Lytechinus pictus: one gene and its partner. The main gene of each other region encodes a partner of the protein of the gene in region 2 in a complex. Links are inferred from orthologs where the notes say so. Each region holds a gene or a part of one and is shown on either strand. Other genes may lie near its edges.

What was found. The genes of interacting proteins can lie anywhere in the genome.
Region 1: tonsoku-like protein (region 2) and protein MMS22-like share a complex: the UniProt entries of both Homo sapiens proteins name them as parts of the MMS22L-TONSL complex. The link is inferred for Lytechinus pictus from reciprocal best matches to the Homo sapiens genes TONSL and MMS22L.

What each region holds. Positions count from the first base shown.
Region 1 is NC_087248.1:10,792,298-10,799,391, forward strand, and holds the start of protein MMS22-like, read right to left. Parts: upstream 3,110-7,094; 5' UTR 2,772-3,109; intron 1,825-2,771; 5' UTR 1,746-1,824; intron 1-1,745. UniProt on the Homo sapiens protein: Component of the MMS22L-TONSL complex, a complex that promotes homologous recombination-mediated repair of double-strand breaks (DSBs) at stalled or collapsed replication forks.
Region 2 is NC_087246.1:68,429,779-68,437,130, reverse strand, and holds the start of tonsoku-like protein, read right to left. Parts: upstream 3,004-7,352; 5' UTR 2,879-3,003; coding exon 2,848-2,878; intron 512-2,847; coding exon 416-511; intron 1-415. Other genes in the region: uncharacterized protein KIAA1143 homolog, read left to right, coding at 5,768-5,875. UniProt on the Homo sapiens protein: Component of the MMS22L-TONSL complex, a complex that promotes homologous recombination-mediated repair of double-strand breaks (DSBs) at stalled or collapsed replication forks.

The DNA.
Region 1 (7,094 bases), on a different chromosome or scaffold from region 2:
TTTGAAACTGTTTTCACACAATATTTTACCCAACTTCAATTTTTGTCAAAAATTAATGTTCAATATCCATGTCTTTTTATCAAATCAAATAGGATATATCCCCAATTATCTATTTAAAAAAAAAATCACTTTTCAGTTTTCTCAAGAAACTGTCAACATTACGTGTCACCATCAAAGGCTACAGTGCAACTGTGTATTGTCTTGTACTTCTTTGTAGAAATGGGATGCAGTATGAATTAATTTGCAGTTCACTGTCAGTTCATTCTTAAACAAGTGGAACGCCTCTGGCAGTCTCGCCTGCATTACGCAATTTGATATAGCAGCAGTGCTAACTTTGAAAACTACTATAAAATAATCATTCACAAAAACACCATTCATATAATGACATAATACCACGTTCATTGACCATAAATGACATTTGAACGGAGACTTAAGACTGTCAACTACACCCATGTCCACATTTCATTCACTCTATCCATAAACTTTCAAAGTTATGATGGCACTTCAACAATTACCCCAACATGGCCTAAGTTTATTGTCCTTAACTGACCTTTGACTTGGTTTTGTGACCTGAAACTCACAGGGGATGTTCAGTGATGCTTGATTACTCTTATGTCCAAGTTTTATGAACTAGATCCATAAACTTTCAGAGTTAGGATGGAAATTTAACATATACCCCCAACACGGCCAAAGTTCATTGACCTTAAATGACCATTGACCATGGTCATGTGACCTGAAACTCGCACAGGATATTCAGTGGTACTTGATTAATCTAATGTCCAAGTTTCATGAACTAAATCCATAAATTTTCAAAGTTGTGATGGTAATTCAACAAATACCCCCAACTTGGCCAAAGTTCATTGACCCTAAATGACCTTTGACCTTGGTCATGTGACCTGAAACTCAGGCAGGATGTTCACTAATACTTCATTAGCCTTATGTCCAAGTTTCATGGACTAGATCCATAAATTTACAAAGTTATGATAGTAATTCAACAAATACCCCCAACTTGACCAAAGTTCATTGACCCTAAATGACCTTTGACCTTGGTCACGTGACTTGAAACTCGAGCAGGATGTTCTCTTATACTTGATTAACTTTATGCTCAAGTTTCATGAACTAGGTCCATATACTTTCTAAGTTATGATGTCATTTCAAAAACTTAACCTTCGGTTAAGATTTTGAAAATAATTTTCCCAACATGGTCTAAGTTCATTGACCCTAAATGACCTTTGACCTTGGTCATATGACCTGAAACTCAGGCAGGATGTTCAGTAATACTTGATTAACCTTATGTCCAAGTTTCATGAACTAGGTCCATATACTTTCTAAGTTATGATGTCATTTCAAAAACTTAACCTTAGGTTAAGATTTGATGTTGACGCCGCCGCCGCCGCCGTCGCCGCCTCCGTCGGAAAAGCGGCGCCTATAGTCTCGCTCTGCTATGCAGGCGAGACAAAAAAACTTCTTGCTTGAATGAACAACCATTTCCCTTGCAGACAACTTTGGAATCTTTGAACATTTCTTTTGGATGTGCATTTGTGTTGTCCTTTTCTCTTTAGACTTCAAAATCATCAGAAAATCAAAGCAGTAATTCATCTAAACTCTTTGCCCTCTTTGCTTCCAGTTTGTTTTCAAATGCTCTGTTGTTGAAGAATAATACAAAACGTTGAAAGCTTGCTTTGAAAACTTTTGTTGAATGATGTTATAATCTATCTTCAGTCTTCTTAAGCATTGATACAAACCTTTGAATGAAAGAATGTACATAGAAGAAGAATTGTAGGACCTGTTCTCTCAACTTGTTGCTAGCTTCTATGAGTGGATCTACAGGATAAATATGAAATCAGTTGTAAAGTTATTTAACTCTCCCCATGCTCCATTAACATAATTTTTTAATAAATGAACTTTTCAGACCATTTTGACCCCTTATGGATCTGCATTGAGAACAGACCAAGCAGTGCAACATTTTGTATTTCATTTTCTTTAGCCAAAGTGGCTGTTTTTCTGAGGGGTCCATGTGTTTCTTCATTCAATAATGCATAACACTGCAAAAGAATGAACAATGAAATGAAGAACTGTAAGCTCAAATATTTTCGTGAAGAGTTAAGAAATTGTAAAAGAAAAGGCACAAATCAAAGATATTTTCTATTTGAATTTTTTTTTTACAACACAACAGTTTTGCAATTATATCAAAATATGCAAATTAGATGTCAATTCTTATTTTCAATTCATTATCATTTCCTTCTATTGGGTGTATCAGCTTCAAATCTTTTGTAAAACCTGAGTGGAAACATTTTATAAATATCATACAAAATCTTTCATACAGCTTTCTTGATTATATCATGCATAACTTTACAATAGACTGAATTATGAAGTGAAAAACTGTAAGCTCAACCGTTGTCATGAAATGTTAAGAATTATTGCTGTATATAAAATGATTTACTTCATACGTACATGAACAATCCGTCTATAAAAACAACTTAAAGGGGACAAGAACATTATCAAGCAGGTAATCTGCATGATTCAATGTGGAAATATAATCAGAGGAAACTTAAATTTGTGGTCCCATTTGCCTGGTGGTCCTAAAGAGTGGTCTTAAAGCAGTTTTGGCTGCCTGTTTACTATTTACAAGGCAAAGCATTTTTTATTTCTAAAGCAATATCAATATGTGACTGAGACACACACATTTGGCTTGCCATACTCCACTTGTTCATAAGATTATGCACAGCTTTGATGGACAGTTTTGTGAAAACAGTTATCTGGTTACCTACCTGTTACAGACCAATGGCTCTGCTTCCCCAATAAAGACTCTATCTTCCCAAGCACCTGCCTGATCGACAGTATATAGAACAAGATGGAAAAAATAAGAATACAGGGGAGTAGTTTTGTTGGAATCTTGGAGGGAATTTCTCAAAGACGATCCAACACAATTAGGAAATTGTTTGGAAAGAAAATTAAAAATAAATTAAAAAAAACCTCTGTGTAGTACATACACGTACATGTAGGTGAAAGTTTTATACAAGGTGGTTCGTGAACCAGCAATCTCTCCTGATTTTGCGATCACTAAAATATGCAATATGATATTTTGACCTTTAGATGACCTTTCACCTTATCATCCTCAAGAACAAAAGTGTGGTCTCACCCAATGATTATTTGTAGTAAGTTGATACAGATATAAAGAAATGAGAGCAAGTTAAAAAAAACTTGAATAAGGATAGATATTACCTTGTATCAATTAACCTTTTGATCGCATCATCCTCATGAACACACATGTGGAATTATCCAAGGAAAATTTGTAACAAGTGTAAACATATTTGATGCAGAAATAATTAAATGAGAGCAGCTTAACCCTAAAAGGACTGGAAATTTGGCACATTTTTACCTCATAAACTACAGGTCATTGTTTTTTTTTTTAATTTGAAACATTTATTCAATTATGAACTATGCAAATTCATTAGTGAAAAGCATTATTTGCATATATATAACAGCCAATTTCACTTAAAATTTTCATTTTTTCCCCCAGATGTCATCTTTCTTGCAATCTTAATCAAAGGTTTCCAAAAAAGAATCGTGAAAGCCAAAATTTTTCTTATGTTTTCCTTTGTTTTTAGAATTTCTTATGTATTTCTTTGTTTCTTCATGTCTTCATCTTGTTTTTTCATTGTTCTTTTCAATGGAAATTATTACAGACCACTTAACAACTAAATTAAACCCTAAATTATTTAAGCAGACCAATTAGAACACCTTTTTATGAATTTCATCTTCCATAAACTGTAAACAAATTTAAAGTATAAAAATGAGCCATTTTTGACATGACATTGTCTCATAAAAGTCATGTGGCGTCGTGACACTATAACTGTACGTTGCGAATTCGGTCTCAAAAGAAGCACGAGACTTCAAAGAAAAAAGTAAAAAAAATTGCGGCTCTATCTTTTTGCGTTTTGGAAATATCGCGCAAAGCGTTGGGGGGCCCAGTCCTTTTAGAGTTAAACAAAAACTTGACCTTTTGACCCTTAGATGACCTCTGACCCCATCATCAAGAACACATATGTGGTATTACCAAAGGATCATTTGTACCAAGTGTGATCAAAATTGATACAGAAATAAAGAAATGAGAACAAGTTACACAAAAGACTTCAAAAAAGAATGGACATTACCTCACATCATTTGACCTTTGACCCCTAGATGGCCTTTGTCTCCATCATCCTCATGGACACACATGTGGCATTACCCAGGGATCATATGGACCATGTGTGAACATAATTAATCCAGAAATAACGAAATGACAACAAGTAATTGAACAAAAACGTTACAATTTGAACCCGAGATGACCTTTGATCATCCTCAACAACACACATGTAGTATTACCCAAGGATTCGTTCAACCAAGTGTGATGAAAATTGATGCACAAAGAAATGAGAGCAAGTTGAACAAAAACAAGGATGACCATGATTTCATATCATTTGACCTTTTGACTTTAAATTACCTTTGGACCCAAGGATCGTATGCACCAAGTATGAATGTAACTGATGCAGAAATAAAGAAATGAGAGCAAGTTGAACAAAAACTGGACATTTTTGCAACAGACCAACAGACGACATATTAAGTCAAATTCGCAGGCCGATGGCAGGACATCAGGGGTAGACGAAGGGTGAGCATTTTTTTTAAACATCAGTCCTCATCAGCCAAATAGTAACACATCACAGTAACAATTGCCATCTTGAGGTCGCGTCCATACAACCAAAATTATTTTGGGCCAGGGAGGCAGCGATCAACATCTGGTCATCGATTGAATATCTGATAATAATCCGAAATTAATCCTACTACGGTACTCGTGCGATAACCGGACATCGTAAGATTATTGATTGAGTATCCTACAGACATCAATTGTACATGCTAAATGATGCGGTTCATAAAGGGCCCACGATGCATCTCTAATCACCTACCATTGTCCGCCCGATGACAATCACATTGGTCATACATCGATGCATACCGGTCGGACATCCATCGGTTAGTGACTAACGTCCGAACAGAAATCGGTTGATATGGCCGATGTCTGACTGATATCTGCTCTCAAGGAGTTGACCTCCGATGCTAAGGACATCGGCCGATTCATGGCTGGACATTGAACGATACTTAAATGATGTGTCACGGATGAGTGGGCGATTAAAAATATCGGCGGAGACATTAGAAAACTTTATCTCCCAGTATCTTTGTCTGATCACCCCCATCAATGCTACCTGAGAGCCCCAGCCTTCGTACGATGATCACAAGCGTCCGGTCAGCAACCGTTCAGTCAGCAACCAGTCCAAAATGGCCAAAAAACACATTGCAAGTACATTGTTAACCCTAATCGTGCTGGAATGTGACTTAGCTATAACAGACCAACAGACTAACAGGAAAATTTATTAACTTCGTTCAGGCGAGACAAAAAAGAGGGGGGGGGGCTAAAATGAAAGCCAACCCAATAGTCTTAAAGTGCTTTTAAAATGGTGGGTGGAGTAAGGTTTCCATATGAATTTTTGAATTATGCGAACTATAAAAAAAAGATGTTGCCCGGAAGGCACATAATTCACAGGCCACTATCTCCCAGCAAAGCTATTAAAATAGATCAATATTAAAAATCTCATATCGTTCACCTACAATTTAACAGGCGGGCCTGTAAATGCCAGAGATTACCCAATCTAAGCTACATGAATCTCTTAAACTGACTGGACGAGGCCGGTCGCTTAAATTAATGAGGGGCATCACTAGCCCACACTCTAGGCTGTAGCTTTTGTCTTTGCCTTTACGAGTCTGATGCTAATTGGCAAAAGGTAAGCAATACGTCTCAAGAAAAGACTAAAAACCATAGCGGTGAAGCTGCCACCGTCTATACACTCCGATCTTCAGTTACTTATTTTTATCAACTAGGATTAGGTGCAGATTCTTAGTCACAGAAAACTGCCACAGGACATTCTTTGATAAAAAGATGTATTGGTGACGCTTTGCGTAACAGCATCAGAGTCATAACATAGACAAAAGCTCCAGTCTTGTCTTAGATTATAGGTTGGCACATCATATCCCACTCAAAAATAAATAAAATGGGATTGATATCAATCTTAGTAGAATTCAAAAAATCCAAATCACCAATTCTTACCCCCCCAAAAAAAAATCAACTAACTGGGCATGGCCGTTCACCTACGATTTCAGGGCAAGACCCTGTAGGCACATATTTCACAGGCCACCATCTCCCAGCCAGATTCATTATCCAAACTATAAAAAATCCCAACAAATCAACTGACTTGGCATGGTTATTCACCTTCTAATAATTGGGCAAGGTCCTGTAGGCATAATTCATAGGCCATCATAAACCAAATAGGTATTAAATCTAAGCTACATATGATCAGACTGGCCATGACTATTGCTACTACAATTAAATGATCAACTGATGTAGTGGCCATGCCTTTGACCTTGACACATACTTTACACACCTTCATCTCCTAACTCTATGCAGACTATAAAAATAGATGTGACTGGGCATGGTCGTTCAGCTACACTCAAAGGACGTTGCCTTTGGTAGGCACATAATTCACAGGCCATCATATCCCAGCCAAATCTACGTAAAAAAAAAAAAAAATCTGACAGGGCATGGCCACTGCTACTAGAGTTTGATAGGCAAAACCTAGCAAATCAACTGACGTAATGGCCCTATCTTTCACCAAGACATGTACTTTACAGGCAACCAGCTCCCAGACCAGAATCTCCATCTCCCCCTTCCACCCCTGGCAACAATCTCAGGAAAAATGTAAAACTGTATTAAAACTATTAAAAGACATCCTTCCCCCTCCCCCTCCCACCCTGGAAACAATCCAAACCAATCATCTGACTGGGCGTGGCCATTCACCAGCCAAAATGTATGTAAACTACATATTAAAACTATTAAAAACATCCCTCCCACCCTCGCGACAATCATGAAAGCCATCTGACTGGGCATGACCGTTCACCTACAGTTCAAGGGACACTGCCCGGTAGGCACATGATTCACAGGCCACCATCTCCCAGCCAAAACGTATGCAAACTACATTTAAAACTATTAAAAACATCCCTCCCCC
Region 2 (7,352 bases):
CATCCACTTGCGGGTAACCTTACAAACTGACACATTGTTACGGCATATTTTGGTAAATGTACATGTAGAGTACCGGTATATTGTTCATAACCACCTTCAATACAAATATTTGATGGAAAATAGCTAATTTCATCACTAATATCAATTATAAAAGCTATTTAATATTTGCACTAACTTAATTCGCACGTACAATGTATTAGAAAGATTTAATGAACTTTACTTCCCTCTCAACCCATTGATTGCTCGATGCTGTAGTTCCCAGGGTTTGAACAAAGGCCAAATGGTCCCAGTAAACAACAAGTTAAATCTTTAACCACTTTGAGTCAAAGTGTTTACACCCTACTGATTCCACACGAGTCAATTCAAATCTACTTGAATAAAGAGGTAAAGAGGAATGGATGAAATGGAGACTAACCAGATCTTGCAAGCAGTTCACCAATCAGATTGCTCAGTTCTGCTTCTTCCTTTAGGTTTCCTCCTGTCTGTGCTTTTAACTTGCATTTCTGTAATCCTGTAAATCAAGAAGAAAAAAGGTTTGTGCGTCATAGCACGAGAACCACAAGGCATATTGCTCTTAATGTACAATGGCAAAATGACTTGACAGGGATGACAGCTGACATATGGAATGACCCAATTACAAATCACTGAAATCAGAGGTAAAAACTACATGTATTTCAGATTTCTTTCTTCCGTCTCCAATTGATTTCCAGTTAAATTGAGCTTGTAATCATTGTGTGTGCAAATTGAGGTTGACATCTTTCTAATCCCATTAACTTACCTTCGTTAAAAAAATCTTGAAGATCTACATGTAACGTCACACATCAATTCAGCCTTTGGCTAAGGAGTACATACACATTACTGACATACAAGGAAAAGTGACAACCATATATTCAGTAGAAAACTTGCTGATACTCCGAGTGACAAAGGTGTCACTTTATGTGTATTAAACATAAAACTCATGCAACAACATGACCTTAAAAACATTATAAAACTAATCTTCTGTAGGGTACATTTCATTCTAATTTCACTCCGTGTTCATCCTACCATGAGTCTCAAAATTGGTGATTTAGAGCCAGTGAGTTTCCTCTCACGTATTAATTCACTGCCGATTCCAAAACATTGCAAACGAAAATCGCGCATGCGCGGGATTGCAGCTCAAGATCATGAATATTCATGAGTATTCCTATAGATCGGGCCCGTTTCACTATTTACATATTCATTTATCAGATCTTGATCTATAGGAATATTCATGATCTTGAGCTGCGATCCCCACGCATGCGAGATTTGCGATGTTTTGGAATACGTGTGAGCAAACTGTCACTGGCTCTAAATCATGAAAAATCACAATTTTTTTTTTTTTAAGAATCATCGGAGGATGGACATGTTGTTGCATGAGTTTTATGTTAAATACACATAAAGTGACTTTGTCACTCGGAGTATTCAGAACGAGATTTAACTAAGGCTTTATATGTTCAGGTAGGTGTAGGTGTAGAGGTAGAGAAGTGGAGTGGAGCCTACATGAACATCACTTGAGGTACCGTAACTAGCAGATATTTTGTGAGCAGTTTTGCATTGGGCTTTCTGGAGCAGTGGGGAAGGGTATTTTGAAATCAATTCTGAAACTTGATCCTGCTATAAGAGAGGTGAAAAATGAGTAGTGTATTTCCATTGGATTTGCCATTATCAATACTACAAAAACTTGCTAGTTTACAAAAATATGGTAGGCCTACATTTCTTCACAAGAAGTCAAGATACCAGACTTTGAAATTCCTTTTTAATTCAAATTTCAAAATTAGTTCCAACAAAAATATGACCAAATGTAAACTAAGTAGGTGTATTTGGAGCATTTTATTCTCTTCAATTTGATACCAAAATCCAAAATCATTACCCGTACATTTGGATAATGGGATCATATGTCAGAAATGCATTGAACTTTGATTTTTCCCTCAAACCACAATCATTTTTGCCTGTGTGAATGCGATGAAAAGGGCGACATTTTTTGCTCTGTGTGCAGTCACCGATTAAACAGTAGAGACGCACGGCCAATATTGGAGACTGTCTCCAATGTGGGAGATTATCTCCAATATCAGAGACTTTTGTAAAGAATTTGGGTATCCAATTTCAGAGACAGTCTCCAGTTTTGGAGTCCAATTTCCTTTGTTTACATTTGCTGCAAAAGGATTACCTTGGCGGCAAATAAAAATGTGATAAGCAGATTCCTCATGAGACATGAAAAATTACCCCTTTTCACGAATTTCACCGTCTACTTTAAATATTCACCGTCTACTTTTGTTTTGATAAGGATTTTTGTTGTCAATCACACACAAAACAAATGGGCTTCTGACCTCAGTGAGACAAAATTTTGGGTGGAAAAAAAAAATCTGGACACTTTATATTTTTGAAGCCTCCTGTTTTGTCTTTGCCGCTTGGCCTTGGATTACACTACAATTTTGTACAAATACGAATTCAATGACAATAGTTGCAATCATCTTTCTATTTTGTTCTCTATAATATTTCCTTAACATTTTAAACTAAAAATTGATGAAACTTCGCCTGTAAATTTTTCCAAATGACTTTCTAAAATTGATCGTCCGGACACACACAACAACTGGGTAGGACCTATACGAAGTGCCAGTGCCCCGCCATTGCCCTCGGGCTCGGCCTCGCAACGAGATCTCGAAGCACGACCGGGCCGGGTCGGGCTGTCTATAGTGGTACCTATCCGCTGGCTCCAGCAGGGCGTCTCCGACTTCGACCGACGAGTGCAAGCAAGTTTAATTTCATTTTCAATTTTCAAATATCATTCAATTACGGTACAGTGTACATTCGATACCATGTGAAACTTACTCTTGAACTCCTTCTTCTCAGCATTATTCATAGTGGTGCAACCTTCATTCGCTTGATAGATTGGTCCTAGATCTGATATATATTATGAATTTGATGAATGAATCAAATTTCGCGCAAAATTTAATTGGGAAGTTTCGTGACAATTCGGCCAGCACGCGCGCATAATTCATACATTTTCTCGCCTCTGCATGCCCTACAACTTGGAATTTGGAAAGGATGCGAGAGAAGGAGGAATTAGGGGGGGGGGGGCTTGCTCGGCCGCGCCTGCCCACTTTATCAATTTTTAATTTCAAACCTTAGCCTTGAGCAGGCATTTGCCTTGAGGATTTGGAACCATGAAATTCCAAGGCATTTTCTAAGCATTTTTCATTGTCTAGTTTCAAAGATATTTGTTCTTAAAATTTCATTTTAGACATGGAAATTCGTTTTGCTCACAATAAAACAAATATCAATTTTGTGAGCAAAACGAATTTCCACGTGGACAGGACAAATTGAATTGAAAATAATTGCTGTGTTACTTAAATGATAATGATATATAGGCTTGATAGCCAATACCCAGTCAACAGCAGCACAGCATCAACAATATAAAGGCCTAATAAATAGTTCCCTATACGTTATAGGGCCTACATGTAAAAAAAAAAAAAGAAATACATTAAAGGGGTACTCCGCTGGCTGAAAGTAATTTAATCCAAACACATGCCAGGAATAAATGGATTAAAATTCTTTGAGTAAATTGCTGAAAATTTCGGTGAAGTTATTGAATTTTAAAGTTTTATTTTGTGAAAACAGTTATAGTCATGAATAGCTAGTTTGGCTGATACATTTTACGCATATTCTAAGAGCTTGGGGCTGAATACACTTTTGATCAAAATTGACTTTAAAAAAAATATATAATAATGTATCTTTGACATGGGAATCAAATGCACCATGTCACATTTGAAAAATGGGAAGGTTGGTAAAAATTGATTGCAAATCTAAGTTGAGTTTTATTCCAAAATGAGCAGTTTTTATCAAGGGGCCAAATCCACCATTACTTTATATAAAGTTATGCATTCAAATCCTTATGTACATGTTGTGAAAACAAGTTCACACCATCAGTGCAAATTTGGATGAAAATAACCAAATAATTACTATTATTTTTATGAATATTTTTGGAATAAGACATCGACAAGTTATCATCCTTATAGAAAATAATTTTAAAAAAAAGATTTTCAATTTTTTCAATTTTTCATTGGATAAACAGATGTACTCTACTATTAATAATGGGGGTCTGAAACCCAAAATAAACTCCGAAACTTAGAAAAAGTCCTGCTCTTATATTATAAAAGAGCAGTAAAAAAAAGGAAAGTAAAAAAAACCAGAAGGTGAAGTAAAAAAAAAAAGTGCCAGGGAAAAGAAAAAATTAAAAGCAATAGAACGGAGAAAATGGAGGAGAAAGAAATAACTCAAATATGAAAGAAGCTTTTCATCCTCTGCAAGAAAAGAAATCACGAAAAAGGCGATTCCATGGTAGAAAAATGAGCCATTTTCAATACTTTTCACCTGCTGTCCAAACAAAACAAGGAACTTCAATTTGTTTTTGTGTTAATATTGGCTGGGTAGTCATGTAAAAATGATGACTATCAACCAAAATGTGTTTTCCATAGTGAATTAGGGGTTACGACACACAACATTCTCACCTATAATTCACCCATACTCAACTTTTTTTTCTACCCGCTTTAACTTTATTGACAAACAAAGAAAGTTTTATTGCTCAAGCATTCAGCTAAAAGACTATAAATTGTTGTCAAAATGTCCTGTACGACACGTGGGTATGGAATCGCCCAAAAGCAGTGTAAAAATAATTTTTGCCAGCCAGAAGGGCAGCAACAGTGATAATAGGTATTCTTGGGCAACTAATAAAATCCCCATGAATTACTGAAAAGATCAAAGGATATTTTTGACTGGACTTGATCCAGTAATAGGTCAAATTCATGTTCATGGCCCGTCTTACAAAAGAGTTATGATTGATCCAATCAATCGTAACTCTATGGAAATCCATTAGTGTCATCATTTTTTCGACATGAAATTTGCATAATGTCCTTTTTAAAAAAGGAGAACACACCAAATTGTCAAGAAATCAATGAATTAATTTATGGATATACATTCAAATCTATAATCTTTTTATATGTTAACTTTGCTGGCTTTCCATAGTTGCGATTGATGATAATGATATAGATATATTTACCCAGGGTAGCCACTTCAGTTTCGAAAACTGTTCTACCAGCGGGTCCTGCTATTATATTACCCCGGCTTTTTAGCTGAGCTGCCTAGGCGCTCAAGCATTCAAGGAATTTCTTCCTACCGGGTACCCATTGGTTGAGTACACCACAATGTGGATGAGTTTCTTGCTGAATAGGAAAATAAGCCATGGCTGGGATTCGAACCCACGACGGGCCCACGACCTTCTGTCATGTCTGTTTCAAAGTCAGAAGAATAATCCACTGGGCCACAACACTCAATTGATCGGATCAATCACAACTCTTTATAAGATGGCCCCCATGTGATGAAATGTTCTCACATGCTAGATGTGCATCATATTGATTTTATATGAATTTCTCTGAATGACGTAATTTTACGGGTCAGGGGGGACTCCCCGATATGACCCGAACCTATGAGATGCTATGCCGGTCAGCCCCGCGGGCTTTAGCCATAACAACTTACTCAGAATTCAGAATATCAAGGATACCACCAACCTTAGTATATAGGCTTATATTTTTGTACCAATTTACATATTAAAAAATGTATCTTTTGTGGGACAAGTTACCTATTTTCAAAATTTGACGTATTATGAAAATATTTCTTAACAAAATTACGTCGCTATGGTCGCTACTGACTTTAGCTTTCCATAATTACCGAAAACCGTTTCGTTCCAGAGGATATGGCAGCAAAACGTCAAGTAAATTACATAAAGCCCGCCGAGCCTAGTTTCCTGGCAAAATTCAAGAAGGATGTTGGATACAAAGAAGGGCCATCAGTCGATACAAAGGTGAGAAACTGTTCTAATTCTAATATTTAGCCAGTTTAAAAAATAAAATTTTATTTATCAAGTCTAGACTCTGTCTCTGTCTGAGACTGAGTAACTTCTGAAGCTCCAGCGGCGTTCCTGCACTTGGCCCGGCGCAACCGGCATGGCGGCATTGCCACTGGCACTGCTACTAGTAGTAGTACTAGCCAGGGGCGGATCCAGCTTTTTATAAAGGGGGGGGGTTGGGGTGGTATGCGAGGGAGCGTAGCGACCGAGTCCAAGCGAGCGGAGCGAGCGAGGGGGGAGGGTGTGGGAGGGGGGTGTCCCCCCTCCCACAGTAGGGAAAATTTTTGAAAATCTGTGTGTGAAAATGGCGTTTTCTTGCATCTAAAACACCACTCTTTTAAAAAAATGGTCCCCGGATTTTTTTTTGGGGGGGGTTGCAACCCCCCCAACCCCCCCTCTAGATCCGCTTCTGCTAGCTGCTGCCACTGCACTGCTCCGCGGTACATGTATATATTATATCTGAGTGGGCTCTACCTGCTTACGAGTTACGGCTACGGCCCTTCTTCCTTATTTTATTTACTACCTTCGAAAATTTTGACAGATGTGGAACTAAACGGCGCGGCGGCTCTCCTTTTGAAGTTTTGTATCGGCCAAAATTTAAACCAGTCATTGGATGGTTTATTTCAGTTCGTTTTACTTTTATTTTTAATTATGCCAATTGCCAACTTGTCTACTTTTTTGTTTTTTTTGTTGGAAGATTGGTAATATACCGTATATATATATATATTGTCAGGCGCGTAGCCAGGGGGGGGGGCGGTGGGGGCGGTCGCCCCCCCCAAAACATCCCCAAAACGAAAAAAAAAAGAAGGGAAAGAAGAGAAGAAAAAAAGAAAAGGGAAGGGAGGAAAGGGAAGAAAGGTAGCTTTGTCGGGTTTTTTTTTCTTTTTATTCTTTATTTTTTTCTCAAAAGAGAAACTTCTTCACTCTTGCTCTAAATTTATATATGAATTTTGCTTCCGCGCTGCGCGCGGTTAAATGACAATATTGATGTTTCTCCATTGTTCCCCCACCCTTTCTCTAACCCTGCTTTTCCACCTCAGCTATGTGTGTTTCTTGCCAGTTAAAGTTCAAATGTATAGAATAGGGCATGGAATTAGAGTAAGGTTAGGCCGAAGTATATGAAGTTATCTTTTTTTTAATTGATCGCGCAACTTCTGGTCGGGTCGGCTCCGGGCGGGTAAAATCTTTATATAAATTTCTGCCGTCACCTCCATAAAGTCAACTTCTCCTTCTTTTCAGATCATTACTAAACAACCATAGTTTGGGGCAAACAGGTTCCCAATTTAAAAAGAGGAATGTATAACATTCGTGTCGTATTAGATAAAAAAGTACAATATTTTTTTTCAAATTCTATTAATCTTCATGTTATTTCCCTGCACATTCATCTCCTGTCCTGTTTTTTGCCCTCAGAGTGAAATTTTGAATGACACTT